4 linked regions of the Schizosaccharomyces pombe genome follow. Changing the gene in region 1 together with any one later gene gives a genetic interaction. Each region holds a gene or a part of one and is shown on either strand. Other genes may lie near its edges. The genes, in order: clp1, bgs1, myo2 and mid1.

Region 1 (5,778 bases):
TTACTATATTTACTGTTGGGGGAAGGAGCGTAATGAATTCCTCAATTCCAAACATGGAAGACACGTAAGTTAATGACTGAAGAATCGATAAGCAGCTATGGTTTGCAGCATTTTTCTATACTTCTAAATTGTGTCAATAATTGTCATTTTACTAATATGTGGTTTAGTTGGTGGAGGAATAATGATGAGAATGAAGTATTCATTTTGGTAGAAGGATTTACAAAATTCTTCCCTACCCTTTCCTTATTGGGTTTACAATTACTATCTCTCTCCTCTCATTATGCTTAGTATCAGAAATCTATATATCCAACAAAATTACTTTGTGATATGATCTATCTCTTGAATTTGAAAACATTATTACTCTTAGTTTTGACTTTCATTTGATTTTGTCTTATAAAAGACAAGTTGTAATGCTGAAACAGCGTCTTCTTCGCTATCGTGTGTAGAAGTTTGTATTGTTGTTCCCAGATATTTTTTAGTCAAATATTTTAAGGAATATCTAAACGGCGGGCCTCTGGCATGCGTAAATAGAAGAGCAGTATCTATGACACGTTTGTGAATAAGCCTCATCGCATTCAAATCGTTTTCTAAACCATGTCCTATTAAAATTGTATTTTTATTCATGCCAAGTTCCTTTATTTTAATATACATTTGATCCATGGTAATTCCTGATTCTAATTCTTTGGCATCATGTATCCCGCTAAATCGAGTATTGAGACTCAAAATTTTGCCTTTAGGCTTTATAAACACATCCATAATAATGCTTTCCTTTGCTACCACCGTCAAACGAGCCAATTCCATCCCGTTCGTAGTGTAGCATAGTTCACAATCTAACGCGCAATGACTTAATTGCTTGCTATTTGTACTGTCTGGTAAGTAGGAAAATGGATGAACGCTAGCAAGATACGGAAGATGTCGGTATTTGAACACATGGTTGTCTTCTATAATACAACCAGACGAATCGCCCTCTTTTACACCACAGCAAGTGTATGTACGAATCTTCTCCCCCCCTTGCTTTTCACGAAACAGTTTTCCCCAATGATATGTACATGGTCCTCGAGGATCCGCAAACCGTGTACCACATCGATCGCATTCACGAAGTTCATCTGGCGGGTTTACTGGTGCAACGTCTCCAATATTATATCCCCATAGAATCAATTCTTCTTCCGAATGAACAAGTGACTCAAGTTTCTCATCAGGAGTTGATCCTTGTATTTCATTTTTCTTCGGAGCTTTCTTAAGAGATAAAATTTTAGACTTGCAGGAGGAACTGTATATCATTTTACTGTTTGCAGTTTCACAAATATTTTTTTCATCGAGAAGAGCAAGCATACTACTTTCTGCATTGGAATAGCCTAAATCCTTGTAAGACTCATATAACAAATGTGTCATTCGTTTTCTCAGTTCATGCCCAGCTGGTGAGTTGGAGTCATATTTAGGAGTAGGAATGATATTGGAAGACGCTCCTTGAGAATCTGAATTAGTACTAATGGCTGATACAAGTTGCTTCTTCTTATTAGGAACGATGGAAATGGCATCATTAAATAAAGAACGCTTTTTTAATACAGTATTTGTAGGTAGATGCGTCGTTTGATGATTCAACTGCTTGCATTTGTAAGTTTCTAGTACGTCCATACGAAAATTCTCATTCTTGGTTTCTTTAATGGAATCATTTGTCTTCTCCAAATTTAAAGTGGTGGATATATTTTGCCTAATGTTGAAATTAAGATTTTCAACCGAATGATAAGGGATACAGGTCGTAACTATTGGAACACAAATAGACAGTTTACAATTATCGTATTTGTAAGGAAGTGATTTTTCAATTTTAACTTTTGGGTACCCTTCAACATTTTCGGAATAAGGTGGTGAAATCTTTGTTGAGTTTTGAAAGTCATGACTAAAGAAACAATTCCTAGACTGACATTTGCGTCCAGTTCGTAGAAATGGACAAACTATGTGCTTAAACTGACCCAAAGGTGAAAACATTGAAGCAAATTAGGTACAACAAGTAGGCAGATTTCCGTTGGGAATTTAGATAAAAATTCTCAAGCAAAATATAATAAAATGTACCGCTACGAACAAAGATACCATGCACCCGCGAAAGAACCTCTTCAGCCAAAAATAGAATGGCGAAATCTTGAAATTCGTAATAAAAAACAAAGACTTTTTATATCATAACCAAAACAATTTCTCGATTAAAATCATTAACCATGGCTTGCAAAAAGCCAAAGTTTTTTCCAAAGAAATATGAATGTTAGTTAACAAAAAGGATAGCTAAGACATTAATGGTGGTGATCCCCACCGCGCAAAGGTGCGCTAAATCAGGGAATATTTGTAAAGTTAATTAATGAAAAATTATGCAGGGTTGACACAGTATAATTCAAAGTTAGTTTATATGAAAAAAAGGAATGTAAAAACTGCCATTTAAACCAGTAATTACAGGTTTATTAAGAAATTAGCCGGCTTTTAGAAGGCTTAGGTTTAGCAACACGGCCATTAGAAGTATTGTTAAGTGATGACATGCTAACACTTCGCTGAGCACTTTTTTTAGAATGACTAGACCCACTAGACCACCTATTTCCACTTGTACGTCGAATTGGACTACCAGTTGGTGAGGATGTCGGAGAACGAACTCCATTTGGTTCGATATTGCTTTGACTTGATGAGCGACGCAAGCGAACCACTGAAATTGTTTCAGTTGGAGTTCCAACAGTCCGTGTTTCATCATCATTTTGTATTTCTGAATCTTCGTAACTACTGTATGACGCTTTGTTCTCATTTTGGATTGATTGCTTGGAAGCATTTTTAAGTTTCTCATTAAATTTGACAGAGGACGCTGAAGGGAGACGTCTCGCCGACGGTGGATTATGTCCAGAAACTTTTCTCGGTTGGCCAGGCGTTGGTTCTGGAAGAGGAGTACTGATATTGCTTTGAGAGGTACCATTCGTAGCATTCAATGGATGGCGAGGAGGAGTAGCTAAGGGTTCCGCAGCGGTGGCCTGTTGGATTGCTCTTCCCATCGCCTTTTCGTAAAAATATGCACGGAAATGAACTTGATTAATATGTAACCAATGCTGTTGTGGACCTACAACCATTCCAGGACGCATTATTCTCATGTAAGCAATAACTTCATTAGCAGTAAAACAATGTTTGTATATTAAATATGCGCCAATTAAGCATCCAGTACGTCCGAGCCCTGCTTTGCAATGAACAGCAATCACACCGTCTTCTTCTACTTCCTCGGTAAGGTCAATAAACTCTTTGACAAGAGAAAGCTCTGGAACTGTGCCATCCTCAAAATACATCTCTTTATGTCGAATTCCAACATTTTCAAAAGTCTTTTTATCGTAAAGAGGTCCATTAAGCCTAACTATCAGTTTGACCTTATTAGCGACGAAATAATCGAGAACTATCGCAAACGGTTGAGGAAGTTTCTTTGGACGTGTGCTCGCATGATTCCAACCAGCCTGAATAGGACTTGCAAATGCTATAAACTTAGGAGATATCCAATTAAAATCTCCATTCTCCACTCTTTCATAAGTTTCATAGTCATGAACATCGATATTACGTATATTTAGTATGCTGCTCTCTCGTGCTCTCCACAGTCCGTAAACACAATCTTGAATCGTGATATAGTAATCTGAAACAGCATATCCCGCATCTCTAAACCCCAAAAAAGGAGGTTCTGCCTGAGCTAAAGGGGCTAATGCGAGATGTGGAGGCCAGTTTTGTACTAACACCATGTAGCAAGCTAACAAACAAGCGGCATTTGCACGCAACCTTGTATCTGTAGAAGAATATAAAACTATAGCCTTGCTTTTCTTAGCTTGTCTGTGTTTTCCCATGATACCATGAACTATCACTGCAAATCTAATAAGATGACTCACGTTCAGCGGACCAAAGTCATGATAAAAAGGGTTGTAGATCAATTCATCATCGATAGTAAAAAAATGCATATGAGGATATAACTCGGCTTTAGGTGGTTGCGACAATGATGTGTAGTATAACTTGTCTATTTAACATGTTAATCAATTTTACGAGATATTTGAGTTAAACTTCATGCATACCCTCCAAAAACTCAATCATTTCACCAAGCCCATCATCTTGGTAATCCATCAGACAAGTAATTGCGAATCTCGTCTATATTCGTCAAACCCGTAATGGTTGAGTTCTAAATTGTGTACCTGGGTGTTGGTGGTCCTTGTAAATAGAAGGGATGATAATGCACAAGAAAATATGTGGGGTGCGAAACAAATGAAGACAAAAGTGGATTCTAAACTATACACAACGTTATGTTGACATTTAATCTTTTCTCTTTATTAAAAAAAAAAAGACATTAACTTTTAGCAACACTATAGTAAATAAACAACAATAATCATTATCTTACAAAGTAAGTAAAAATGCACATCAATTTATGATAAACATACAGAATACTTTTTGCTCATACAAATACAACCCAACTTTTTTATCTGAAATTCGATTTGTTTTAGCAAATATATTTAAATCCGATAACAAAATCCGGATAGATAACCATATAATTGCCGGACCTTTAAAGCTACCCTAATCTATCATTTATGGATAGCACTGGAAAGCATAATATTTGTAAACATTATAATGGTAAGAACGACGTTGGGTGAAATTTAAGTTAGTTGTAAACTGGTTCTAACACGCCGCCTCTGAATACTAAATAGCAACCTAAACGAATAATAAAACTTTTTTGCGCAACTAGTTAGAAATAAACACAGGCTAAATCCGTAATGAAACGATCAGCGTAAACGAAATTTGAGGAAAAATCAGTTGATATTTCATCGCTGTTACAGCGATATACCATTCTCATATAAGTTGGTAAATGATACGATATTATTGCTAACAAAGTTTTGGAGGTATAGTGATTAGTTTGCTCGCAAACCAGTCTAAACCCATAAAATACTAGGGCATAAGAAAGAATGATAAAACACTAGATTAAAAAGGAAATTTTTTGAAACCTTAAAACCGACCATTAAGCAAAACTTCTTTTCGCTTACTATCAAGCAAACAGACATGATATACCAAAAGTTAAATCCCAGGATAAATACCAAATTTTAATAGTATATAATAATCTACATTAAATGGCTAAGCATCTTTTAGATATTGAACAATTAAACTTCAAGAGCAGGTACTTCTTTTATAATTTCCTCGTAGCTTTCCTTGTACTCCTCAACTTTAGACATGTCCTTCTTTTTTCCACCGGGAACAATCATAACACAGCTAGTAGGTCTCTTGGTGTTTGATGCTTCACCAAGCAACTCTTTGGAAACAGTATATAAGTAAGGGACATTATTGTCTTCACATAATACTGGAATATGAGATATAACATCCATGGGAGAAATATCACCAGCAAGAATTACAAGACCCTTCTCTCCTTTTCTAACAGCCTTTACAACCTCTTTGACCCCACGAAGGATGTGTTTCTGCTTCGAAGCCTTCTTGACAGTCTTCATCATTTTTTTGTTCAATTTTTTAGGAGCTAAAGGCTTAGCAATTGGCATTAAAGCAGGAAGATATGAATCATACTCATCTTCGGTGCTTCCACTATGCTTATGGTCTTTTTTATCTTTTGCCATGATAAAGAAATGGAGAAGGATAAGTTTGGAAGCCCAAAAGATGATCCCAATAAAACTTTTTTCAGTAACGCTATGTAGCGGATAATAGTCTGTTAAGCCATCTGTATAATACGTAATTTTAAGATACCAGCTTTGGTAATATTCCTTAAATTGACATAATGCCTACTATTCCACG
Region 2 (9,628 bases), on another chromosome or scaffold:
TGGAATAGTTTGGTCCAAATCTTTTAGCACTACTGCTGGTAGGGCTAACCTTAAGCGAAATAACAAGGACGCGCCACTTGGGAAAAAGACATACGCATACATTGAATTATCTGATAAAGTAATCGTCACAAAAGAACGGCTTTACAATACTTTGGCCCATGAAGTTTGCCATTTAGCTTGTTGGATCATCGATAATGAAATGCAAAATCCACATGGCGCCTGCTTCAAAGCATGGTATGACAATGCAAATTAATGATAAATGTACTAACCTATTAAGGGGTAAACGAATTATGAACAATATGCCTTATATAGAAATTACCTCTAAACACAATTATGATATTGACTTCAAGTATAAATGGCTGTGTATTAATGAAAAATGCAACAAACTTTATGGAAGGCACTCAAAATCCATCAATCCACAGAAACAAGTTTGTAGGTTATGCAAATCACAAATTAAACAAATTTGCCCCAAAATAAAACAGCCCAATGCATTTCAAATTTTTTTAAAGGAGAATTCTAAGAGACTACGAAAGCTACACCCACACATCACTCACAAGGAACTTATGAAGAAACTTTCAGATGAGTACCACCGTACTAAAGATGCTAAACAAAACGTTTCAAAATCCGTTAGCCTTATCTCTTCAAGCGATTTGTAAATGTGAACGTAATAACATAATCAATATCACATTACGGGCAGACGGTGCACCAATAATTTTTTCTCATGTAACAGACATTAAGTTTGTGTTTGCTCTAACCATCAATCGTTCTTCATTACTTATTTAGATAATATATTCTCAAGTACTAGATACTTAATCAACACTCAAGTCATTTTTTATTTAACAAAATGCAAATATAATAATTATTATTTACCCTAATTGAGAGCATTTCTAATGAGAAATAAGCATCCACATCACACAAATCCTTTAAAAAAAAATAAAATGCTTTAGACAGAAGAATTCTTTGTTGAAGAATAAACAATCTTTGTCGCTGGCTGAATCAGATTAAATTTATCCATTGAAGTTCCAGCAGCTGATTTACCAAACACAAAAGGCAAAATTAAAAGAACAAAAAAGGCAATAAACAATGAAAAGTACAAAGTGGCATAGCGAAGAACTATTTGACGACGAAGTTTGTTTTGTCTTATGGTATAAATTGGGGGTCGAATTTGTCTGCTGGGCACAAGCCAGAATAATATGATCGAGTGAAGTTTGTCGATATAAGGAATCAAAATAACAGGCGCTTGCAAAAACAACAAAAGATGACTTAAAAGGAAATCACCAGCAAACATATTCAACTCTGTAGTTTTACACACAAATTCTCTCCATGGTTGCGTTAAAACCATATATCCAAAACCTTGGCCATTCCAACGTCCAGACCACCAAGCTAAATTGGCACCATCATGACGAAATTCTCGAGACAGGAAACATATGATAAAAAATTTATGAGCAAACCTGTGAATTGAAATGATTGCTACAAATCCAAGTAAAGTTTTTGAAAATGACCAACCTTCCAAATAGCCCAATACTTCAAAGACAACAACATCAACACACACAAAAAGGAAATGGGCCACTCCAGCCAAATATACACCATACGTTTTAGATCTATCGCCGAGAATAGGACGTAACATGATTCCTAAACAGAAAAAGAAAAAAGCAATAATTGCACTTAAAACCAAAGGAGCAACTGACATAATAATCAAGCGAATAAAAGCATTAGTAGATTGGGTCTCATCATCGTTACCAGGTTGGGAATTGATAAAGAGAAATGGAATACACGTGAAAAATAGTGTTCCTAGAGGCCCTAATATTTCACCATAAAACATTGTAGTAATTCTCGCACGCGGGGAATCCATAGCAATTTTATCTGCCTTCTTACCATATATTTTACGTTTATACCCAGTTACTCTGGTACGGCAAAGTTGACAGTTGCCAATCCATGAATTTGCTTGATTGCGTGAATTTTCGCGGAATAGCCAGCGCATAAACTCACGATAATCAACAAAGAAATCGGTCCAGGCGAATTGATGGGGATTGTAAAGGAATGGACTAATGCAAAGAGCAGTCAGCGTAATCCAAAAGTAAATATAATGCGGCAACCAAGCAGTAATTGAACCAAACAATAACATGTACATAAGTCGTGACCCAAAATAAAGTGATGGTCCAGAGAATCGAGAATACAATAGTGAGAACGGCACACGAACAGTAGCAAAACCTCTGCTAGTACCAATATAGCGTGCACCACCAAACGTAAGATTTGCAATTAAACTCTGCGCATATATTTGGCATGTGAAAATTTCAAAAATAGGAGATAGAGAGAATATTTGTTTCGCTAAACGAATAACCATTCGGATGGCACCGCGTTCCCCTAATTCACAAACAGCAAGTGGAACAAAAGCAATACCAAAGACAATGAAAATAGACAAAATACAACGCTTCAACCACTCGAGAACTGGTTTTAATTGATAACAACCTTCAGGGTACAAAGAAGCTGTCAAGGAGTCAAATTGGCGGTATCTACAAACCGGAACAACAGTGTACATTGCTCCCAAATTAATAATAACAAGCATCAATAACTGTAAAGAAAACATGATGACCATGTTATTGACGTGAAATCCAGCGTGGGCATAGAAAAATGACAAAAACCTATCAAACGGTAATTGTGTGCCAAGGTTGAAATATTCTCTTGAAAGCATTTGTTCCGCCATACCCGTTCCAATTTTCGTAGTAAAGTTAAGAATTGAGCCAAAACCCAAGTCACGACCCTTACCACATTGATAGTAATCACAATGCTTAATACGTCCTCCACGTTGAAGAGCAATCATACCTGCATAAATATCTTCATTAACATGCAGACCTTTTTGTGCTTTTGAAACGCCGCCACGAGTAATCATAAACAAAACATTAATAAAATCAGGATGTCCGTAATGCAATTTTCCACCAATCAACGATAAAATACGAGCGAAAAGAGTACCAAATGTTTGTTCCTTTCCAGCAGCTACATCTCCAAGCATACCTGTATTTTCTGAAAAAATGTATTCTCTAGCACCGAGAATAGCTACGGGATGATTGTCAGCAGCTTTGGCATTTACCGAGTAAGGGCTATGTAAGGGAGGAGTAAGTTGCTCAAATTCAGCAAGAATGCTACGAATCTTTAGACATTCTTCCAAATAATTATCCTGGTTGGCATCGATCATTTGTACATATTCACCTCTAATGTAAGGAATAGACATATTTTGATTATCAGATTTACCGTCACCCAAAATTGGGTTACCAGATAGACGAATACGATATTTGGGTCGACGCTTTCCATTTTCCATAATGGGGCAATGACCGTCAATCAGTACAGAATAAAGATGGCGCTCGTCATTATGTCGAGATTGAGGATCTTCATCCATATATGCAATTTGCAAGTCTGGATACGCTCTTAATAAAAATTCTGCATTTTCGGCTTCTTCTTTGGTAAACTTAGCATACCGCTGCATGGAGACACAGAATCGGAACTTCCTGTTTGCCATTAAATCCAATTCTTCATCTAATCGCACAGGGTCACCATTTGTCCATTCGACCAATTCTGGTGTTTCCGTTCTGTATAACAGTTTGATGGCACGACTATAGTTACTGAAACCGTTGATAGTGCGATACAAAGTTTGAGTTCTCAGAGAGGCCCAAATTCTTGTTCTCAAAGTATACTCCGGAGTCGCAGATTTAAATCCAACACAATAGAAAGGAAGGTCATATGCTTTATTTACTCCATTTTTTTCATTGTCGATACTGCCAATAACAGAATCATTTTCATCAGCAAGTAATTTTGTATCATCAACAAAATTTCTCCACTCCACAGGATATAGCTGCTTCAAGTACTCTAATAGAGTTACGCGAGAAAGTTGATCTTCCTCGCGAATAATCTCTCTTAAAGATAACAAAATTTTCTCAGAATAGTGAGGAACCAAAACAGTGAAGGTAGGCATGGCATCAATGGAACTAGTCTTGGGTATTGATTCAGCCAAGGATTGTGCGAAAAAGGAGATTCTTCGAGCAGCTTCTGAATTAGCCGGAAACAAATCTTGCTTATAATGCTTAACCTGTTGGGAGTAGAAAAAGTTGGGAGCTCTAAGAGTATGATAGCCTGCCTTTTCAGAAGGTACTTGATGGTACAACAACTCCTGAATTTGGGTACGGGAAATCAAATGCTCCCTGTACATCGAGATAATAATGGCATTCCAAACTTGAGAAATAAGTACTTTTGGCTTGAAGACAATCTCCATGTCATCGGTATACAACAGTTTTGTATATATTCTTCTGGGAACGCGGTAAAACAATTCTCTCCAAGGAGTCCACACACTGATACCCAGGCAAAAAGCATAAGCCAAAGAATAGATAGTGCTGATAAGAATGTACCATAGATAAGTATCAAGGAAAAACAGAGAAAGATCAGTTAAATACAGTAAACTCAAGAGAATTTTAGGCTGAGCCTTGCATAGTCCAGCTCCTAAAATGTAATCACGGCAGTCATAAGGTCGCATAGCACCCAAAAATCTGATAGAATCTGCCAAATTCAAAGTTAAAAAGAAATAAGATTCCAAGAATTTGGCCACCAAAACTGTAATCCAAAGACACCAAGAAACGAAAGCACCTGTTTTTGAGGTCGGAGTGAAATTGGCGGTGAAAAATCTGTTAGCAAGGTTTTTTCCAGACCTTTTTGTGGTGAAACCAACCAAATTTCGTAACGGCGTAATCGAATAGTAAACTACACAGACCAACGAGAAAAAGAAATGCACAATTCCTACAACCAATCGAGAAGCATAATGCTGCTCTTTCGTAGACGAAGCAAATATGAAAACAACAGGTGCGATGTTTAGAAGTAGCGTACTTATCAATAACAGCATACTCGGCCACAACCTTCTGGCAGAATGATAACGACGAGGAACATGTATATATTCGAAAACCACAGCTGCCAAGGTGATAAAAGAAGCTATAGCACCAGCTAAACCACAAGCTGTCCAACGACAAGAAGCAGGAGGTTTATTATTCAAGCGGATGTGATAATTTTTGGTGTACAAATTTGGGGAATTATAAGCCGAATAATACCAGTAAGCAGATATATGCATTACCCAAATACGTGAGAAATTGGTAACGTTATGGAACCAAGAACGATACTCGTAATAGGACTTATAAAAACATGATTTCCATTCAACATCGGAAAGATGTCGATATCGCATAAACGGTGGTAAATCTAACAACGGAGTTTTATCAGCACACATGATTTCCTGAAGGCCCTTGTAGGACCAAAACAATTGATTAATATCATCATAGCCAATGATTTGAGAATGATCTCTTTCTCGTCTGACGTATTTGCCGTCCAAAATTTCAAACAGCTGTGCATGAATAAATCGATAAATAGGGGTGATAACCGAGTCTAAATAAAATTCCTTGGGCAAAGCAGCATCGACATCTTTAGCTTCCGAAGAGATATAATAATCATAAGCACATTCAAATATAAAACAAAGACACTCGGGAACAAAACGAACATTGTTAGCTTCACCCCAGCAAAGAAAATAAAGGCACACCTGCACCATCATGCGATGGGGTGAAAATGCTGCCATTTGATCTCTCCATGCCTGTTCAGCTTCTTTCAAAGTCATTGTTTCGACAATTGGGGAAGACATATCGTGAAATCCAATGGCATGACCGTCATTAAAATGAGAAGCAAAGTACCACTTTGAAAAATTTGCATGTTCACCACCAATGACATCGGCATGGATAGTAAGCAGTGCCGAGGAAGGAGACATACGAGATGCCCGAGAATCTAAAAGAACCATAACATAATCAAAAATGTTACGCATGTTATCTTTTTGAAAACCAAGTTTATTTGTAAGGTCCAACAAGATCTCTTGAACACCTTCCATAGTAACAGGAGCCTCTTCACCAGCTTGATTCCAAGCCGGATAAGCAACTGAACTGGAATCGACATTAAATGAAGAGCTATCATAATCAGAATGTAATGCATCACGAGAAGAGTTTTTATCGTAAATCATACGGGTCAGAGAGCTCATAGTATCATCGTCAGAGACATAACTATTGGCATCATCTTCAAAGAGTCCACGACCCTCTTGTTCACGCCAATACTGATCCATGATGAATAAATAGACTCAAAAGAAGGAGAGAGGACAAATTTTAATGCTTAAATTAAGAAGAATTGAAAGAAAGAAAAGTTGGAATTTGTGAGAAAGAATGCTAGCAAATGAGGAACGATGTTCAAAAGAAAGAAATAAATTTAAGAGACCTTGAAAAAAAGATTAAAAAGAAAGAAGTTAAGCCTTGGAAAATGGGGGCAAAAGAGTAGAAGAGAAAAAAATTTGTGCTGATTGAAATGAAAAAAGTAAAAGACTTTTTCAAATCCTAAAAAGAAGAAAAAAGGGTGATATATGTATGCCGGATGAGAGAAGACGGCGGAAAAAGCTCTAAAAGTAGGAAAAAGGGTGGGATCACGAAGTGAAAGAGTAGTTAAGATATCGGAGGTTCAAAAGGGAATGAACGGAACCTAAAAATACAGTATGCAAATTATAAAAAAAGAGGCGAAAAAAAAGAAGAAATAATTATAAAAACAACAATAATAATACCATAAAACAGCAAGCACCAAAAGAAGTACTTACAAATGCACACCTAGGAAACTGACCAAATTTTTAAAAAAGCGATTCAAGGAAGGACGTTTTTTTAAAAGAAAAGGAGAAAATATAAAATCGCTTTCCACATAAACTTTAGATTGAACAATTAAATTGTCGTATGCAGAAGCTTATTTACAATCTCTCAAAGCGAAAAAAAAGTAAATGGAGATGGGAAAATGGAAGGAAAAGAGAAGCGAAAGGGTAAGAGGAACCCGGGACAAACGCCAAACGTCCACACAAACACAATGCTACGACAAAAGGTGATCTTGCACACACCGAAAACTTAGCAGTGATGGAGCAACTAACGTAAAGATAATATCACACAAGAAAACTTGGCAAATGTTAAGATGGAGTCAACCTTTTTGTATGGAGGCTAATAGGAAAAAAGAGAGGAAAAAGAAAAGAAGGAACCAATGATAGATATATAAGAAGGAAGAAAAAATTAATTCCGTGCAACAGAATCAAAAATTTGACGTTAAAAAGGATAATTTACTCTAATTAATCAATATATTTTCAAAAATTTTAGAGTAATTCCACTAAGAGAACGGTGAAAATAGCCAAAACCCACCAGTTCCTAGTTTGTTGTCTGCAAGTTGTACTCATTCCGGTTCTTTCAAAACTAACAGCGAAATGGGGAAGGGTAGTGCACATTATTGAGGCCTATTTTAGTGTAAGCAATTTAGAGGCTGGCGTGGTAGGAGGCTCAGGTTACTCACCAACGAGGCACAAGGAGGCTTAAAAAACCATCCCCATACAAAGCAAAGCCATAGCCGGTCAAACAAAGAAAGAATTTATAAGCAGCTACTGTGTAGCATCTTATCAATCGTTATACCCAGCTACCGTTTTAGATGGATACTTTTAACCAAACTAAGGACGCTATATTTGAATTGGAAAAGAAGTAAACAAACTACAAAAAGTCAAGAAAGTGTAGCTGAAACCATAATTCAGTTACAGTGAACATAAGCGACGAGTGTTCTTTTTTTTTGGAATTGTTAAACTAATTTCTAATATGTGATTGTCTACATGGGTGGTAAACAATAGTAAAAATAATACAAAGCTAGAAGGTACCGAATCCCAATTAGCAAAGGTATGATTATTACAGTATAGAGCTTATGAAGAGAACTAGGCATTGGGCTTTTTTCGCAAATCCCGAAAATTGGGAAAATCATAGACGCACAATGTCTGGGTATTGAATGCGTGGGAAAAGTACGGATTTGAATGCTAACAAATCTGGTTAGGATCTAAAGAAGATGAAAAGACAACCGAGTACGAATTTAAAAGCAATTGGTTAATCCAAAGGAAGAAACAATGTGCCGGCATTGGAAAAGGTTTCCATTCCATATTCTGGTTAAGACTTGGATTGGGCAATTTCCCTTACGAATACCCCAAAAACAAACACATCCTGTAAATATTTTTATCTATCAATCGACTATTACAGCGATATTCTTTTAAATCTTTGATGACTATTTAGTTGTCACACTTAAACAACTTCTTACAATCATTTGACTACAACTATTTCTATTGTCGCACCTTCTGCTCTTTTCATTTTCTCCATTTCATTAATTCCTATATTTTCTACTTCTCTAGTTTGTTTTACTTCTTTACACTACCTTATTAGATAAATAATCTAGCACCCTAGCCTTTCTTATCATCTTAACCCCCTGTAGCGAGACTTTTTTCGTCCGGTACCTTACAGGGCTTGGGTGGGCTTTATAGAAAGGCTCAGTACATTTACCACGAGATTTTGAAAAGGATAAATCCAGCGTTTTTTCCTACAAACTATACGTTCCTGATACGCTGTATACGCTTCTTTTTCATCCAAATTTCACATTTTTTATATTTTGGTTCAAGTCTGGGGTTGATTTAAGAAAAATTTTTTTCCGTACTGCCTATTCAGTGTTTCTATTTATATTCAAAGGTGAAATTTTTTGTCTCCGCAAACTTTACATTGCCGTTATTGTCGCTTTGTTTACATTTTGAAAGTCTCAAATTGAATATTTTGAATTTCATCCTTGGCTTTTTTTTATTTGGTTTCCATTTATTTTGGTGATCGGCTTCCTTATTTTTTTTTGCACATTTAGTATTGGGTTAGACTTCAAGTCATAGGAGCCGATTGAATGATATCCTAATATTTGCCTGCTTTTTTAAAATTCTTCCAAAGTTATCTCTTTTTTCTACATTAAAAGGTTTTTTCATTCGTCTACCCAAAACGTTAACGACATTTTCCTTGTATTCTTATCCCTTTAGATTATATCCCATTTTGGTACCCATTACTGTTTTGCTGCATTTCAAGTCAAGCTGATACATTCAAGTGAATCTAGCGGATAATCATATTTTGTATTTCAACCTTTAAGTTTTGCACTTCCTTGCATGCGTCTTTGCCTTCCCTTAATTTTGATTTTTATTACACTGTCAATAATCACGAAACAAGAATATAAGAATAGTCGAAACTCTCACTTTCTTTGCGCCCTTTTTTCCTTCTCCCTTTTCTCCTAATTTTTATTTCTAGACTTCACTGAATTTCCTCGGTTGATTTAGTCAATTGGTTTAATTTTTAATCCTTTTTTTGTTGTTTTTTTACTATTTTGGTTCTTAATTGTCGCTCTTTTTCTACTTCTTATTTATATTATTACCTAAATATTTGGACTCTAACTATGGATATTAATCCTCCTCCTAGTACTGCTCCTTCATCTCCTCGCCGTTCTGTATGTGCTACATAGTGGTTTGGTTCCATTCATACACCCCTTTTCTCCTCGCTAACGTACCATTTAGATACAGCGTATTTCCGATGCAAAAAATAAGGCTCTTACTTTTAATCGTCGACGACTTGGCTTGATAAAAAAAGCACATGAACTCTCCGTTTTGTGTGATGCTAAAGTGGTGGTCATGATTTTTGATTCTAAAAATGCTTGTCACGTTGTATGTTTCATATTTCCCGTTTTTCTGATCCTTTTCTGTCATATC
Region 3 (9,025 bases), on another chromosome or scaffold:
TGGGTGTTGAGGTCTACCCTTCCTATGGAACTTCAAAAGGATTCTCGCTTAATTGTAGATTCGGTATTGGATACTGCTTATTATGGATTTTTGATGACTGTGATCGCATTCATAGCCGTTTCTCATTGCAGTGTAGGACATTCAGAACTGCAATCTTTTTTGCAGGAACTTCTAACAGAGGAAGAAACAACCCCTTTGCATCTGGATATTACTCGCTCGTTATCTCTTTTAGTTCGCCAAGGGTATTTAGATAGAGTGAAAGATGATACCCATAACCAGTTTGTTTATTATATTGGATCCCGTGCAGTAACTGAAATTTCTATTGAAGGCTTGAAATCATTCGTTACAGAGTTCTTTCCGGATTCAGACATTGATATGGATGCTCTATTAACCGAATATCGGCAGGAGTATCAGAATCAATCTTCCTCAAGTGCAGCATAGATGACTCTTAGGTTTTTACATTATGCTCGTCTCATGTTAATGCTATTGTATACTTACTCCGCTACTACAAAAAAATTCGTAATATTATTTAAGTTCCTATATGCGTGCTAATATCTCGATATAAATTTAAGATGTATATTTGGTTATATAGCGGGAATATTATGTACAGCTGTTAAATAAAAAAAATAAAAAAATAGCTCGTAAACTTATAAGAGAAGTATATGTCAGTATATATAATATAATTAATAAAGGTTTCATCATTACAAAATCATTTAACTTCATGCGGCGCGCAACTCATCTTCAAGGCTTGCAATGCGATCTCGTAAAGCTCTCACATCTATTAACGAATCTTTGTTCACTTTTTCCAAAGAAGCAATTCGTTTTTGTAACTCCTGCTCACGTTTTTCATATTGTACTTGAACGGAAAACATTTTTGCCTTTTCGCTATTTATTTGATCCTTCAGAGCTTTCAATTCAATAGCATGAGCCAAGTTGACATGTTGCAAAGATTGGCCAGTAGGTTGAGGTGATACTTCGGCCCCTTTTAACTCATTAACTTGCTTCTCTAAGTTGTGCTTCTCAAGATTAAGACGGTCGTAGTCTCGTTTCAAGTTCTCGTATAACGCTTGATTTGCATTTCTTTGCTGTAAATCAAAAATTGTCTTTCGTTGTGGAATATTTTTCAAAACGGGTTCCGTAGTTTTGACAGCCGGTATATTATTCTCCTTTCCGGACGGTCTATGTTCTTTAAGGCGATGTATCTCTGCCTCTCGCTTCTTGCAGGAATCAAGAGCAGAATTCAGTTCCTTTCGAGTATCAACCAGCTTCATTTCTACTTCTGAAAGCTTACTACGTATACTTTCATGATCAGCAACTTTGTTCCTTAAAAGGGTGACTTCCGAACGGAGGCTTCTAGTTGTTTTTACTTCTTCTAGTACCTTTTGATACTCAACTTCAAGCTTTCGTTTACTCTCCAACTCTGATTTCAAAGAGCGTAATTCTTCGTTATCTCGACTAGCTATCAATGCTTTACGCTTTTCATCTTCAAAGGTCTTACCGAGTTGACTGTACTCGTGCATTAAGTTAGTAATCTTCCTCTCAAGTTCGGGAACCTTAGATGCTTTTGGAGAAAGTTCATTTACTTGCTTCGTCAAACTCGATACCTTATTAGAGAGATCTTTATTCTCGGAGCTCGCCAACGAAAGCTTTTCCTTGTAGGACGCCGATTGCCGAAGAAGACTTTCATGATTAAAGGTCAAATCACGATGTTTTTTCGAAAGTTCCTGAAAGTTTGTATCGACGTCTTTTAACCCCTCCAAGTCCAGCTGAAGTCCTTCATATTTTTTCTTGTAATTCTCCAAGTCGCTAACTTTAAGAAGTAAATTCTCATGGATTTCTTGCAATTCAATGTACTTTAAAGAAGCATCTGACAAATTTTGGCATTTCTCTTCCTTATTTTCAAGCTCTTTCGTTAACGATTTGATGTTATTTAAACATTCTTTAACTTTGGCTTCCAGTTCTTTATTTTTGGTAGCCTGGAGCTGATAAAGTTGATCTTTGTCATTCAAGGATTCTAGTTCTTTCTTCAATTTCGGAAGCTGTTTGACATCGGCTTCCAAATAATTAACCTTCTCTTCTAAGTTATTTATTGTTAACTCTTGCACTCCTTTCAAGACGCTTAACTCTTCTTTCTGCTGTTTTAAAATAGAGACGTCGCTTATAAGAGTAGAATTTTCACGTTCTAATTTTTTGACTCGTTTGAGACTCTCAGATAAAGAACCTTCCTGCTGAATACTCTTTTCATTCATCTTCTGATTTGTCAGTCTCATTTCTTGAATTTCAGTTTTATAGTCAGAAATATATTTAGTGAGTTTATCAAGTTCAGCATCCTTGGTAACGATAGTTTCCTGTAAACTTTTACATTGTTCATTGAACTCTGCTTTTTCTGATAAAACAGTTGCATTGTTCTCACGTAAAGACTCAAGTTCTCCCTTTGTATCTAGCAAATCCTTCTCTTCCAAACTCAGTTTTTCTTTCAGTTCGTTCTGTTCTGATAACAAAGTCTCAACCTTGGAAGTTTTTTCTAGTAACTCACTTTCTAATTCGTTATTAATCTGTTTCAATGACGCTGACTCTCGTTGCAAATTTTCATTTTGCTGTTTTGTTTCGCTAAACGAATCTTCTATGTTTGCAAGCCTTTCCTGTGTTCGACGTAATATTTCCTCCTTATCAAGGGCTATCGCACGTTCAGTAGTAAGCAAATTTTCAACAGCAGTTAAAGAATTGTTGGTCTCGACGAGATCACGCTCTACCTCAGATTTTGAATTCTGTTGTTTTTTCAGCTCGTACTTCAGCTCTATGATTTCAGCATCTCGCTTTTTAAGCTGCTTATCATTTTGAGTACTACTTAATAAGGGCCTTAGATTGAAAAATAACTTAGCCCAAGGAAAAGTTCTAAATTCATTGTACACTTGCAAATTTGCTTGTAGTAATTTGATGGCTTGTATGTCCTTCAATCGCTTTTGAAAAATTTTTCTTTGAAGAAAGCCACGGATCCTTGTTTGTAGCATAGTCATCAGTCTTTGTAAAGTCGCTACGCGCCTCTCCTCTAATTCTGCTAAAACACCTGCTTTGAAAAATATTTTTGAAACACCAATTCGATAAGATGCTTCGTCAATTTTCAACTCCTCCAAAATCATGACAGAAGCACGTCGAGATTCCACATAGGTACCTGTTGGTAAATGCGCCATTATCTCATATCTGACTCTAAAATCATTAAATGGTAAACGGTTAGGAAAACCAGCCCTTGTGATTCTGATTCCTTCCAAAACACCATTACATCGAAGTTGTCCTAAAACGAGGGGTCTATTAAAGGTGTGCATTTTCTTTTCTTCGTTTGGAACAATACAACGAATAAAGTGAGGTTGGGTCGAGTTAAATTGATTCATAAGCTGATTGAGCTGCTCTTTATGCCTTTGAGCAACAGTTCGAAAAAGGCCCTTTTTCGTCCTTCCCCTAACAGTTTTAGTCTCAGTTTCCTGATAATCAGAAAATAGTGTAGCGACATGCTTGTTAGTAGATTGCGCAAGCAACTTAGCAACGTTTTCATTCAAAGGATCGGTGTTCTTCTCCAGCCAACCTTCTGTACTGTAAGGAACATCAGCGGCATAATGAGTCAAAATAAAACCTTGATCGGCAAACTTAAAAGGTTTATATTTTAGCGACTTGTTCCTCCAAAGAGCATCAAGTTTAGAAGTAAACGTAGCATCAGTTGCTTTCGGCATAACACATTCTTCATCCAAACATGAAAGAATACCTATTGGGTTTGCTTTCTCGATTAAATCAATAGTCGGCTGTAAATCATGTCCAAAATCAATGAAATCCCATACAATTTCTTCTTTCATATATTCTTCTTGCTCCAATACGAACATGTGATGGTTAAAGAATTGTTGCAACTTTTCATTTGTGTAATTAATGCAAAGTTGTTCAAAACTGTTTTTCTCAAAGATTTCGAAACCGGCGATATCTAAAATACCAATAAAGTAGCTTTGGGCATTGGAATGGTTCAAGGAAGTGTTAAGTCGCTTTACCAGCCATCCAAAATTCCTTTCGTATATGGCTTTTGCTAATGCTTCAATGGACGAAATGACTTGAGTTTGACTTCGAGCGCTGATAACCCATTCATGGCCTGCTTTAATACGAGGTCGAACAAGATTTTGTGAAAATAACTCCGGAGACACACCAAGCAAATGACAGAGCTTGTCAATCTCATCAGGATTGAGAAGACGAGCTATACCAGAGCGATCAGCACCGACATCAATATTTCCCATATGTAGAATAATGGAAAGTATATTAAATAAATCAAAGTTCTCTTTATCGTCAAATCCAAGAGTTTTAAAAGCAGCTAAAAGAGTTTTAAACTCTTCTTTATCGTCAACTCCATCAATAATGTGAACCGAATCCTTCAAATATCGATAATCATTACAGTTATCGGTTAAAAGAAGTTTGTTCTTGAGAGCAGTATCAGCACCACTTAAAAGCTGATAAAAAACATGGTAGTTTCTTTCAAACTCGTTCTGATGAACAACGCGAGATTTTTCAAGAAGATACCATTCTATGGCGGCATTCGAAATTTCCCCACTCAAAGAAAACTCAACTTTAATGAATTTTCCAAAACGAGAAGAATTGTTGTTGCGTACGGTACGAGCATTACCAAATGATTCGAGCACAGGATTCGTTTTAATGATCTGCTCTTCAACCTGACTAGAGCCAACGGTAGTCGAGCTAGCAATTGCTGCAAGATATTGGATGATTCTTTTGGTATTCTCTGTTTTACCTGCGCCGGACTCACCAGTTACAAGAATCGATTGATTTTCCTTATTTTCTAAAAGGTTATTGTATGCTAAATCCGCGATTGCGAAGACATGAGGTAGCTTGCGCTCTTGTGTTTTATCTTTGTACAATTGAATGATGTCCTTCGTATAGATTGGTAGTCCACAATAAGGATTGACCGCAACGAGAAAGAGCCCAGAATAGGTATAAATTTGATCAGAGAGATATCTCTGTTCAAGATTGTATGTGACTGCAGGCTCGTTTAAGTATGTCAACTCAGCCATGTCATTGACTCTATCAAACTTGGCAGGATTCACCGGATCAATTTCATCCTCACCAACGATCTTCTCATCCCTGGAATTATTATACCGAACAACATATTTCTTGTCTGGCAGATCCTCTTTAATCCAAGCCTTGGTAAAGGCAGTCTCTGGGTCGGAAATCCAAACCCATCGTTTATCATCAATATCCTTCAGACTAGTTGCACCATCTTTTGCAGTTATTTTATTAGATATTACTTCTGTCATCGGGCTACTCTCTAAGACGGTTATTTACCGCCTTTCCTGAAAATAAACAATGCGGTGTACAATACCAAAACCTTGTAAAACAATAAGGATAGACCAAAAATCAAAGAGTGAAAAAATCCAAAAAGATAGCAATAGATATATCCGAAAAGAAGGATCAACAAATGCACAGAGAAAACGTTAAAGAACTATGTTGTTGGATACTTTTTGTACTCCCCGTTGAACGCACAGCAATTAATGATTTAAGCACTTGAACATTCGATTAACGCATGCGTTAATCGAACGTTTATGTACTTGATCATATTTGCGTTAAAACATTTAGTATAGGTTAAGGTAGCATCCAGAAACATTCCTATAACATAATGATTTTAATATCACAATTAAGAAGGTATATATATCTTTTAAAAGAAATAATATTAATAGATGGAGGTCATTATATACTCGGTCTTTTGCAATTAAAGTCCTGACAAATTTTTAAAGCTTTACTTTCATCAAGATTGAAGATATTAAGTAATAATTGAAAATACATTGTACTAATACTCAAAACATCAAATGAACGTAGGATTAGGGGTTACGGTTTAATCGAAATTTCATGTTCCCCCGTGCTTTTAGGTAAAATGATTGTATAAAAAACTCCCGCTATTACAGATATATGAGTAATTTGTGACTAGATACGCAAATAATATGTTCCTCATCGTACCGAACACAACTTTTAAAGCAAATAACTAAACTCGGCATTTATTTATCTACATTTTATATATAGCACTCTAATCATGCCTCTTACTGAATAATTATAAGAACACGCTCTAGCTAATAATCGCAATCAGTAATTATTATGTGCTTACTGACCATCTACAGCTATGGCCCTGGTAATAATCAATAAGTAAATATACAGAAATGTTAGTTGCTTCAGTTAGTGTTTGAAAGAAAGCATGGTGCTTCAATGTGTAACCACATCTTTAAACTTATGATCAAAACATGCAGAATACCATAACCAGTTACGTAAAAAAACAACAATGTTCTCTGTTTTCATCAACTGTAGTCGGCAAGTTTATGCAACTTGTACAATAAGCCAATTTTGGCTTAACACTGAACATAATGATAGTAGCGATCATTTTAAGTAATTAAAAAATGTTAATGCATGCAGATTTTAATATTCCTTTGTGATAAAATGGGTAGGGAAATGTAAAAAAAAAAAAAAAGAAGAAATAAAATTTCAAGGCTGCGATAAAATATGATTCGAAAGATGCAGGATGTTCCGTAAAACAAAATAAGATAAACGTTTCCGATATTCAAAAGTATGGATGAGTAAAAAAGACAATCATGGCAAGAAAACTTGTAATAAATATGATAATTATCAATCTTCAATTATGAAGGAGTTTGTTTTTGCCTTATTTAAAGCGAGTATCAAATGGCGATCGTGATACTGAGGATGAACCATGCCAAACATTATATATTTCCCATTGGCTAGCCAATCACTGTTACTAGGGTAGTATTTAATGTCATTTCCTTGGATAATTTGATTAAGTTTCCTAGTTCGCGTGTTCCATATTTCGACAAATTCATCATTAAATGCAATGAGATATCCATGACAGCTGGTAACAGAGTTCGGTTTGCCAATCCAATCAAACCAACACTCTTTATTAACCATACTACCCTCTCCATTGACAAACACGGCACCGAATTGATAGCAGCATGCAAATAAGCTAGGATCGTGGATGCGAAAGACGCCAAGCGGCTTACTGTTGTTGATTCGGTTCCGAAACAACGTATCATTAAGCACTGAAGGGCTTGGAAAACCAACTGCTAATTTAGGGTCCAAACGCAGAACGTCAATGCCTTTATTGTGACAAAGAGCAATTGAATACTTAAAGCAATCAATTGAATGACAGTTAGCCGTTACGTGAAAATCATCCAGAGTTCTGAAGGAAGTAACATCTTTTCTCTTGAAGGCATATGTTTTCTGATAGTTATGTCCTAAGCCGATCACTGGTTCACAGCAAATTATGGTTGTAGTATTACCGAGTCCCTCTTTATAAAAAACCAAAGTTCGCTCACGTTTAACAGAAGCCCCCTCAGACAATTTACCTATTTTAAAGAATGATACGGCATGCGGAGTTCCAATGACAACTGCAATTTTGGATTCGATCAGACCCATTTCAATAATACGACTTAATTTATGAGCATAAAGGGTTTTGTCACGTAGCTCTAATAGGATATCAAATTCCTCAACAACTCCAAGCTGGGTAACGCGTCTTTGACTAGAGATCTTTTTCCAATCGCGAATGTCACTGGAATCACCAAATGCGCCTAAAAAGATACCGGTAGATGTAGCAATCAAAACCGAGACATGACCTTCGTAGTCATTAAACTGGGCAATACAACTTATATCGCCATAGGCAATAGGCTCTGGCAAAAGCTCCTCACTTACAATTGGGTGTTTCCACGCTACCTCATTGAGTGCGCGATCAATCGAAGAGCCTTCAACCAAAGTAATTTCATTAAAGCTGTTTAATGGTTCATTTCCATTAACTAAGTCGGAAGGAGGGTACTGAAAGGCAACGTCAGATACAACTTTCAATGCAAACGGATTCTTAATATTTATCTTCTGAGAGTGTCGTTTTTTTGCGACATTAATTTTTTCAACCCAGAGTTTACGAAGCTGAAGTGACTCAACGTAGAGTGTATAACTAGCGGTGTAAGCACCAAGGTGCCTTATTGTGAAGGGGTAAAGTTGAGACTTCTCAAATACAGCAGAGTTCATTGAGTTTTCGTTATTCTTTTCAGCAGTGGCATCGAACATTAGTTCAAGATTCACCTTACTCTTCCTTTTACTCTTAGTGGTAAGAGATTCCTGTGGTAAATTGCCAGCTAAACTGCCAAGAAATTTATTAGTGTTTGATTTAAGTTGAAAATCGTCCATTTTAGGGCTTAGAACAAGCAAATCTAATGGTATTGGCCTTTTTGAAACAACATATCTTGAAGCATTTGTTCGTTTGTCTTTTCTTGCTTTGGCCATGATCAAGTAATTATCGAGCAAAAACAAGTGGATGTCCAACCAATCCAAGCGGGAATCACTTCTACGTTGAACTATTCCTTCAAAAAAGAACTCTCTTTCAGGATCCCTTAGCTCTAGATTGACACTTTCATGATTTTTAAACAGAAGTTGATACGATAGATCGCGAATACGATTGGCCTCAAGTACGGTAGCTATAACGGCATCACATTCCTCGCAAGTTGCTCTCAGTTCTTTGACAGCTTGAGTTATTAATTGAAAATCCCAGCTGGACTGCTCGGTATGCTTTAAAATTGTATCCAACTCAAGCGTGTATCTTTGTAAACGTTGAGTAGGTCTTTGCAAGAAATGCTGGAAATCCAACCGACGACATCTAGGATCTGATCGACAAGCAGCAAGCCAACGTGCAAAGTAAGTATTCCTTTGACATTCTAGCTTATAAGTTTCATCTGCTAAAGGGAACTGTTTGGCATAATTAATATAAGAGGATTTAGCAGCATGAATCCACTCTAGTAAGATATCACCAATAATTGAAACTACTGGGCCCTGGAGACGTTCCCTCATAATTAATTGTGGTAAGAACAGTCGAGAATGCAATTGTCTGATTGATTCAACATTTCCAAATACAGATTGAATAAAGTCAGCCACTCGATTGCTGGGAACAATCGCATCTTGCTGCTGCACAATTCCGTCCCTAAACAGTTCAGCTAGG
Region 4 (7,340 bases), on another chromosome or scaffold:
AATCTTCTTCTTAAGGGACCGTATATACTCTTCCCCCATACCGGCTGCTTAACAAATGCTGGTCTCAATGGCAAATTTAAACAGCAGCGACTCATTACTGAATGACGATAAGGATCTTTTGATAATCTTTTCTTAATTAATAAAATTAATTATTACCTGCAAATAAATACGTAGGAGTTGGGTTGAAATAAAAAACGGATCGATTAATGTCGTACAATATAAAGGGGAAGAGAGGTTGTGACAGGTTGATTGCCAAATACAATGTTATAACGAACGATCAATATTACGAGGCCATCATTCTTCCTAATTAAGTATACTCTAAAATTTACTGGACCATTTTAAATTTGTTTGCAGTTTCAGTAGTATATCTTCGCCGTTTAATCGTACCAAAGATTGTATCTATTTATTTTGCTTTCTCAATTAGAAAACCTAAATTAATAACCTCTTAGTTGAAAATGATTATAAATATTACCATGAACTAAACGTAATAAACTTGTAAATTGCTTCAACACTCATTCGTTGACAAAAGTTCTAAATTCTCATGTCTGCCATTAGCGAATCATTTTAGCATCAAAAATTCAATTTATAGATTTTATGGTCAACGGTATCAAGGCGCTCACTTAACCAATTGTTATCATCTAGCAATGCAGCTTTGTCTCCCCCCACAGGTATTTGTTTAATAATTTTGTCGTAAGTAGCTTGCTTTTTACGGCAGTCCTTCAAGAGAAAATCATTCAACAAATCAATATATATCCTCGTCTCATTCAATCGAACATTTACCTTGTCTAAACGTACGACAAGGCGTGCTAACAATATTAAATGACCCTGAACAACTCGAGCTCTCACATCAAACATTGATTTTCCATTATCTGCTAACTCATCTTCGAAAAGAATTATCTCATTGAACCATAAATTTTGTCCTGCGTTAAGTATTTTTTGAACAGGTATTACCTGATCAATTTCAATGAATTTTGCATTTGGACGTTGTATAGTTCCCTGATAATCAGTATAATAAGTCCAATCAAATGGGTAAATCACAGGGTATTCTTCTCCGGGCTTAATTCTGGATTTGGCCCAGTCTTTTGCAAAAGAAACTTGCATTACATCTTCAGGTTTGGTACCAACCATTTTAAGAGCATCTTCAGTAAAAAATCCAACTACAGGCTGATTCTTGTATTCAATTGAGATGTAATTATTCCCAAAGGTCATCTCAGGAGGTGGAAAACCCAATGTACTTTGAAGGTTCTCCATCTCATGGCTTTTTAAAATTGACCCCCGTTGGACTTTGATAGTCCAATATTTAAATGAAAAATCATCTTGTTTTTGCATCTCCTTTAAATAATGTGATTTGAGTAGTTGCTTGACCCCTATATTATTGTAACAATTTAGAGTGCGTACGGCAAAATATAGGTAATGTAAATTTAGCCAACACAAAACACCTTTATATTACTTTACTCATTATAGAGTATATTCAAAAAACCAAAAGTTGATTAATTATTCAGATTAAAAATGAAAAATGATCTATAAGTATTAATTCAGTAGTTATATAATTTCAGTTCAACTCCCTCATTTAGTAAATCCGATAAGTAAAAATTATTCAAAAAATACATTAAGACGATTAGTATTCATAAATTCAGATATTAAGCCATAAAATTCACGTATTCTTGTAACCATAATTTCTCAGTACCCCTATCTAGAGCAAACGAGCGTGAATTCATCACCTGAAGCCATTTTTGGCAAACCTTTTTAGAGTCCGCAAACAACTGAACATGCCTTCTATCAACAGATGTAGCCAATATTCCAGCTACTAGACCGAGGTTTGAAACTGCCTCTGAAAAATTTACCATTGGGATTGAAACTACTGTCTTAGAAAGCTGAAAAGTATCCAAATATTGCCCACCTTTTTCAGCATAAAAATTCAGCTGCTTTGAGCGTAAAACGACAAAACGTCTTCGAATAGATGAATCTTCCAATCTATACAAGTATCCCTCATTATATAGATAGTTACTTCTAACGTGTCGCAAGTCCATCGTAGCTTGTTCTAAGGTAAATGGCAATTCCTGCTCTGGAACCGAAAGCTCAGGAATATACAAACAAGTCAAAGTTAGATTACCAAGTGTACGTTTCCCTATAGAGTTTATTTTTACAGGAATCGCTTCCAAGAAGCCTCTGGAAATGATGGGTATTTCTACGTTGAAAGCCTTTCCAAAACAACTGTCTTTGACATTACCCAAATTTAACGTAGCAGTACCCGAGACTTTCTTGATAACCACTGACTTCTTAGCCTTTGAATTCTCAACTGCAGCAGCCTTGTTGAGTTTTCTCTTTTTGCGTCGGTTGAAAAGCTTGTCAAAAAATTTCCTAGCTTTGGATTTCGTTTCAGCAGGCTTACCGTTTGAAACGTCTTTTGTAGCAGATACTCCTTTCGAACCGTTGGACTTGTCCTCAATAGGGATGTCAAGAAACATAAAACTCACTTTAAAGTTATCGTCAACATGAAAAGCAAAATCATGGTCCAACCTATTATTCCCATTAACAGCTTGCCAAGGAAGCTGCATATTTTGCGTAGGCGTATTAACTATTATCTTGATAGGTGAATGGACTTCACTTATCGAAATATTCAAAATGCTGTTCAAATGTATATAAAAGCGACCAAGTGGCAAGGGCGCCTTTGGTTTCTCTTCAAAAAATGTTTCATTCACAAATCCAAGAGAAGTAACAGGACGTGGTGATTGATTTTCAGTACCATTCGGGACTTCGTAAGACGTACTCTTATCCTGACTTGGAAGATCAAGGCGATTCAAATCAAAGGAATGTGCACGACTTAAAAGTTCGCTATCTCTGGCTACAGGCGTAGACTGCCTAAGTTCATCAATGCTGGCGGATATCTCGGCACTAGGGTCGTAAAAACCTACTGTACCAGTTTCCGAATAATTCCATCCTTCGACGTTATGGGACTCAGAACTGACTAAACTTTGGCTAGACTTGTTTGGCTCATTTTCACAATAATTACTATAAGTACGCTTCGTTCCTGGTACGGGTTGCATTGATGGGTGACGTAAATCTTCAGAGCTTAAAATAGCACTCAAATTGTCAATGGTAGAACTGCTTTTTATACGACCACGTTGACTAGATATACTATATCCCACGGAAGCAGAAGTTAGATTGTATCTGGGGACTTCATGATACGTTACAGATCCATGACCATAGGCGGCCTGAGATTTCGGAATTGAAGTGGCACTAATATCCTCATCCATATTTTCCTGTTGTAAAGAATCATTGATAATAGTAGAAATCTCAGGTTCTGAATTACGGGAAGATTGAAGGTATAACTCATCATAGTCTTTACCGTTGGTGGGAAGGGAAAGCTCAGAGAAATCATAAACTTTCCTAAGTGTACTAGCATAGGAAGATCCACTGGAAATCCGTTTTGCTTCCATCTTGGCCAAAACCTTTTTACGAAGACTTTCTGTAGAGATATCTGAGTCGTCTAAGGTGGCCTCTGGGACTGAAGAAAAAGGCTCTGAAGTATCTTCAACAGGGGCTTCCTGAATGGGAGCTAAAGGTTCTAAAGGTTTATAATCCATATCGAGAGACGCCGTCGTTTCGACCCTTTCCAACGCTGGATTGTCCTCTGTGGTATCTTTGGGAAGACTAGGAAGAATCCTTGGACCTACAGTAGAAGATGCAGATAGATGTGCTGGAGGTACGGGCTTGACATCAGATGGTATGCGAGCCAAGTTGGGAACGCTTCCAGCTCTTGCTCGGGCTGGGTTTGTAGACAGTTCATTATGGGATTGATATGGATGTTGAACAGTGTATTCCAACGGAGACATTGTCTTAGCTCGACTAAATTCTGCTACTTCTACCGCCCTCTTGCGAGACGATTTGGAGCGGTCAAAGGATAATTCAGCTAAATTTTGATCCGGATTAAATGTTTCATAATCTGCAACAATATCAGCACCTTTCAAAGACGCAGTAGAAGAACTTGTCGAGTTCATAGTTCCTGCCGAGTACGTCAAACTAGGAATGCGACCTTCTTCCTCGGAATTAATCCTCTTAAACACTGATGTACTACTCATTCTTTTACGATTATCAGGACTATGTTGAGAAGAAAAAGATGAATCGAGGTGCCCATAGCCATGCATATACATGCTTCTTAAATCAAGTGACTCTAAAAGATCTGTCGCAACGTTTAGTTCCGAAAGGTTTCCAAGGGACATATCGCCATCTCCATGTGTAAAGTTTTTTGTTTGATCATATCCCGAGGTTTCATTACTGTTACCCTCAAAAAAAAGGGGTGTTTTTTCTCGATTTGGAGAAGAAAGAAAACTGTTTTCTAAGCCTTTAGAGTCAAGAGACACATCTTTTGCTTCTCTATATGAGAACTCTTGCTCTTTCATCGTCAGGATAGCTTAATTAGACTTTACAGACTATAATACCTTATCGAGTGTTAAAATGTGGACACAGTATCATATAAGCACCCTGAAGTACAACAAAAGACGAGCCTTCTTCTTTATAGCAAATATTAATTCAAATTCTATTAAAATTGATGCTAAAAGCACGAAAACCTCTTATAATTTATTGAAATCCTTCTTCACCTCAGTCATGTGGAGTAGGCATAGGTCACACAAAATCGGTAGACGCTATGATAAGTGGTAGTCCCAGTGAGAACACTGATTATATGGTTAAACAATTCAAACTCTGGATATACCATAAATCGAAGATTAAAGCCAAGTTTCCTTTTTAAAATTAACAAAAAAAGGCTAGTTGCATTGCAAATATGAATTATAGCTGGGACATACTTGCAAAGATAATATTGTATTATCAGTATGCTTATGAATAGCGATGAATAAAGTCATTAGTATGTAAAATAAAATAAGTAAAATCATATTTTGTTGTCTGCTATTTTCGCAGAAACTAAAAAAAAATACATAAAATGAATCTGTTGATAAACAGCTTTTAATTTACAAATACACGAGCAGTTAAAACCTAAAACTAACTATCGGGGCGTAACATTTACTTAAAGCTAAAACCCATACTTTTGAGAAGATGCCTTTTTGTTTGATCGTTGCTGCTCAAAATAAGCTTCAAAGTTGTCTTTTTGACTGATAGCCATTTCAACAAGAGAAGACAGTTGATGACGACCAGGTGCAACACTTTTAATAGTAGGGGCGCTTGGCAATGCTTCTTGGGTCGGTTTTGGAAGTTTGTTGATATCAACGTCTATAATTCGTCCCTTCTCTTTTCGGTGGCGTCCAATTTCAATGTAATCTTCATTGATAATGTTTATGTCCTCTGCATTTGAATGTACTGAGTGATTAGCAATAGAAATGAAATCGTTCTCGGGTTGATTCCTCAATTTCGGAGGATTTGCTCTAGCTTTAGGTTTTATCAAAATTGGTTGGTAAGGTTTCTGATCGGAATCTACTAAAGAGGCTTGCTTTGACTCTGATCCTACGATATTAAATAACGAAACGTTACCAGACTTTTCTGAATACGTTGATTTCTTGACAGTTTCGGAGGATCCAGTAGAGGTTAAATCGCTTACAGAGTTATTAGGTAATAAATAGTTTTCATTTAAATCAAGGTCCGATCTTTTAGATGACTTTGGAGCTAATTCAGCTTGATTTTTTGGGGCAGGCAAAAGTTCAAGTAAATCATTAGATTTAAATCGTTCATTAGAGATAACATCAGATTCATTAAAAGTTTTATCATTAAAAGAAGATTTCTGTAAATCAACTTGCCGTTTCAGGCGTTTAGGTGACTTTTTAGTGCTGTCAACCGACAATTTTCTGCGCGCATGCTGAAACAAAGTAGGATCGAAACTTTTAGAAGCTAATGGTGTTTCTTCTTCAATATCGCTTTCGGATTCTGATCGAGGATATGAAACCAGAGACATATTTTATTAACTTTTGATATTAAGTCGTTTAATAATTCTGAGCGAGCGATTTGTACTCGGTAACTATTCTCACTGCGAACAGAATTATTTATGGCAATTAATATACTCGCATCTGCAAGATGATTTACATATTTATTCAAACTTAAATTAATTCTTTAAGTAAGTCTTAAAAAGAAATAATATTTAATTGAATGCTACCGCCCAACGTTGCTAGCTAGCATATGTGGTATTTTATATATTAATCACCCAAAAAGATTCCAAATTACCATTAATTTAATTTACTTTTATAAGCTTCATAAATATGAGAGTTTAAAGCACTGCAATTTTCGTAAACTTAATTTTTAGGATAGGCCAAAACATGGCCAAATCTTGAAGACTGGAAAAAGTACCGACTCGAATACTTTTATCAATCAACTGTTAGTAGTCGTAACCATGGTATCATAAACCGAACATATCTCTTCAAATATATCAATTTATGACAAACCACAATACATATTTAAATAATCATTAACTTGTCCGTATCAACTTTTAAGCCTCATCAAACTGACGATTAGCAAGTTCAACTAAATGGTCCCAATTGACATGCAATGAGCACCAAGTTTCTACTCCAGCAATAATTAGAATTGCAGCTCCAATTCCAATCCATAAACCGTACAGCCCCCAATCTAGCTTGAAGCAAAGGATTATGGCAACAGGCAAACCCAATAAATAATATGCGATGAAATTTACTACCCCACCAATCCTTTGTCTTCCTTGTCCCCGAAGAAGGCCTCCAGCTACACATTGTGTATTATCGGCAATATTAATGAGTGCAACAAGGGGAATGATAGTTGCAACCAATGCGACGACATCTTTATCAGACGTAAAAATGTAAGTCCATGTGTTGCGAGTTAAAAAAAGGATTACAGCAATGATAACACCAATTGCAGCACCTAAATTGATAGAAACGTGCGTAGCTAGCTTAGCGAGTTTCGTATTTCCAGCACCAATTAAATTTCCTACTCTTGTGGCAGCTGCAGCAGCGACACCGAAAGCCAAATTATAAGAAAGGGTCGAGGTAGTAGACAAAACAGACATAGAGGCTAATTCAGTGGTACCCAACACGCCCGATGCGAAAGTAACGAGTTCAAAAGCCCAGTACTCACTGCAAATCATAATTACACCAGGAACAGCCAATCGACATAACGGGCCCCAATTTTTTAATGCTTCTCTACTAAAACCTCCCCATGCTTGTCGTCCGTTTACCTTCATAATATAGATAATTAGAACAGCACAAGCACTCCATAGCGTTAATGCTACAGCGACCGGTGCACCTAGAAAACCGAAACCAACCCAGGGACTCCACACAAAAAGGTAATTAAGAAAAATATTAATAGGTACAACAATTGCTAAAATGTATGTTACAGGATGAAATATACCTTGCACCTGAAGGAAACGT

Evidence for each region.
Region 2: mutations in clp1 (region 1) and bgs1 impair growth when combined (synthetic growth defect), as found in Schizosaccharomyces pombe (2 studies listed by BioGRID).
Region 3: mutations in clp1 (region 1) and myo2 impair growth when combined (synthetic growth defect), as found in Schizosaccharomyces pombe (3 studies listed by BioGRID).
Region 4: of clp1 (region 1) and mid1, changing one enhances a phenotype caused by changing the other (phenotypic enhancement), as found in Schizosaccharomyces pombe (3 studies listed by BioGRID, with this or other methods).

Annotation. Positions count from the first base shown.
Region 1 is NC_003424.3:4,767,544-4,773,321, forward strand, and holds clp1 (Cdc14 family protein phosphatase Clp1), read right to left. Parts: upstream 4,174-5,778; 5' UTR 4,117-4,173; coding exon 4,068-4,116; exon of another isoform or gene 4,013-4,067; coding exon 2,448-4,012; downstream 1-2,447. Other genes in the region: qcr8 (ubiquinol-cytochrome-c reductase complex subunit 7), read left to right, coding at 1-64, 168-182; exonuclease Rex3, read right to left, coding at 364-1,986; box H/ACA snoRNP complex subunit Nhp2, read right to left, coding at 5,139-5,603. UniProt on the Schizosaccharomyces pombe protein: Protein phosphatase which antagonizes mitotic cyclin-dependent kinase cdc2, the inactivation of which is essential for exit from mitosis. To access its substrates, is released from nucleolar sequestration during mitosis.
Region 2 is NC_003423.3:2,350,111-2,359,738, forward strand, and holds bgs1 (primary septum and spore wall linear 1,3-beta-glucan synthase catalytic subunit Bgs1), read right to left. Parts: upstream 7,255-9,628; 5' UTR 6,134-7,254; coding exon 944-6,133; 3' UTR 812-943; downstream 1-811. Other genes in the region: SPOM_SPBC19G7.04 (protein-DNA covalent cross-linking repair protein), read left to right, coding at 1-234, 278-656; DNA-binding transcription factor, MADS-box Mbx1, read left to right, coding at 9,319-9,369, 9,437-9,583. UniProt on the Schizosaccharomyces pombe protein: Alternate catalytic subunit of the 1,3-beta-glucan synthase (GS) complex. Synthesizes 1,3-beta-glucan, a major structural component of the fungal cell wall. Required for the assembly of the division septum and maintenance of cell polarity.
Region 3 is NC_003421.2:1,232,731-1,241,755, forward strand, and holds myo2 (myosin II heavy chain myo2), read right to left. Parts: upstream 5,507-9,025; 5' UTR 5,301-5,506; coding exon 720-5,300; 3' UTR 501-719; downstream 1-500. Other genes in the region: Smc5-6 complex non-SMC MAGE family subunit Nse3, read left to right, coding at 1-441; RhoGEF for Rho1, Rgf3, read right to left, coding at 6,655-9,025. UniProt on the Schizosaccharomyces pombe protein: Required for cell division. It is a component of the cdc12 'spot', a structure thought to mark the site of septation. May work in conjunction with myo3.
Region 4 is NC_003421.2:1,145,813-1,153,152, forward strand, and holds mid1 (anillin-related medial ring protein Mid1), read right to left. Parts: upstream 4,624-7,340; 5' UTR 4,404-4,623; coding exon 1,641-4,403; 3' UTR 1,504-1,640; downstream 1-1,503. Other genes in the region: ubiquinol cytochrome-c reductase assembly protein Cbp3, read right to left, coding at 1-95; TIP41 type 2a phosphatase regulator Tip41, read right to left, coding at 571-1,329; protein Cwf20, read right to left, coding at 5,030-5,902; SPOM_SPCC4B3.13 (MatE family transporter), read right to left, coding at 6,431-7,340. UniProt on the Schizosaccharomyces pombe protein: Scaffold protein that anchors the contractile ring (CR) at the cell equator during cytokinesis.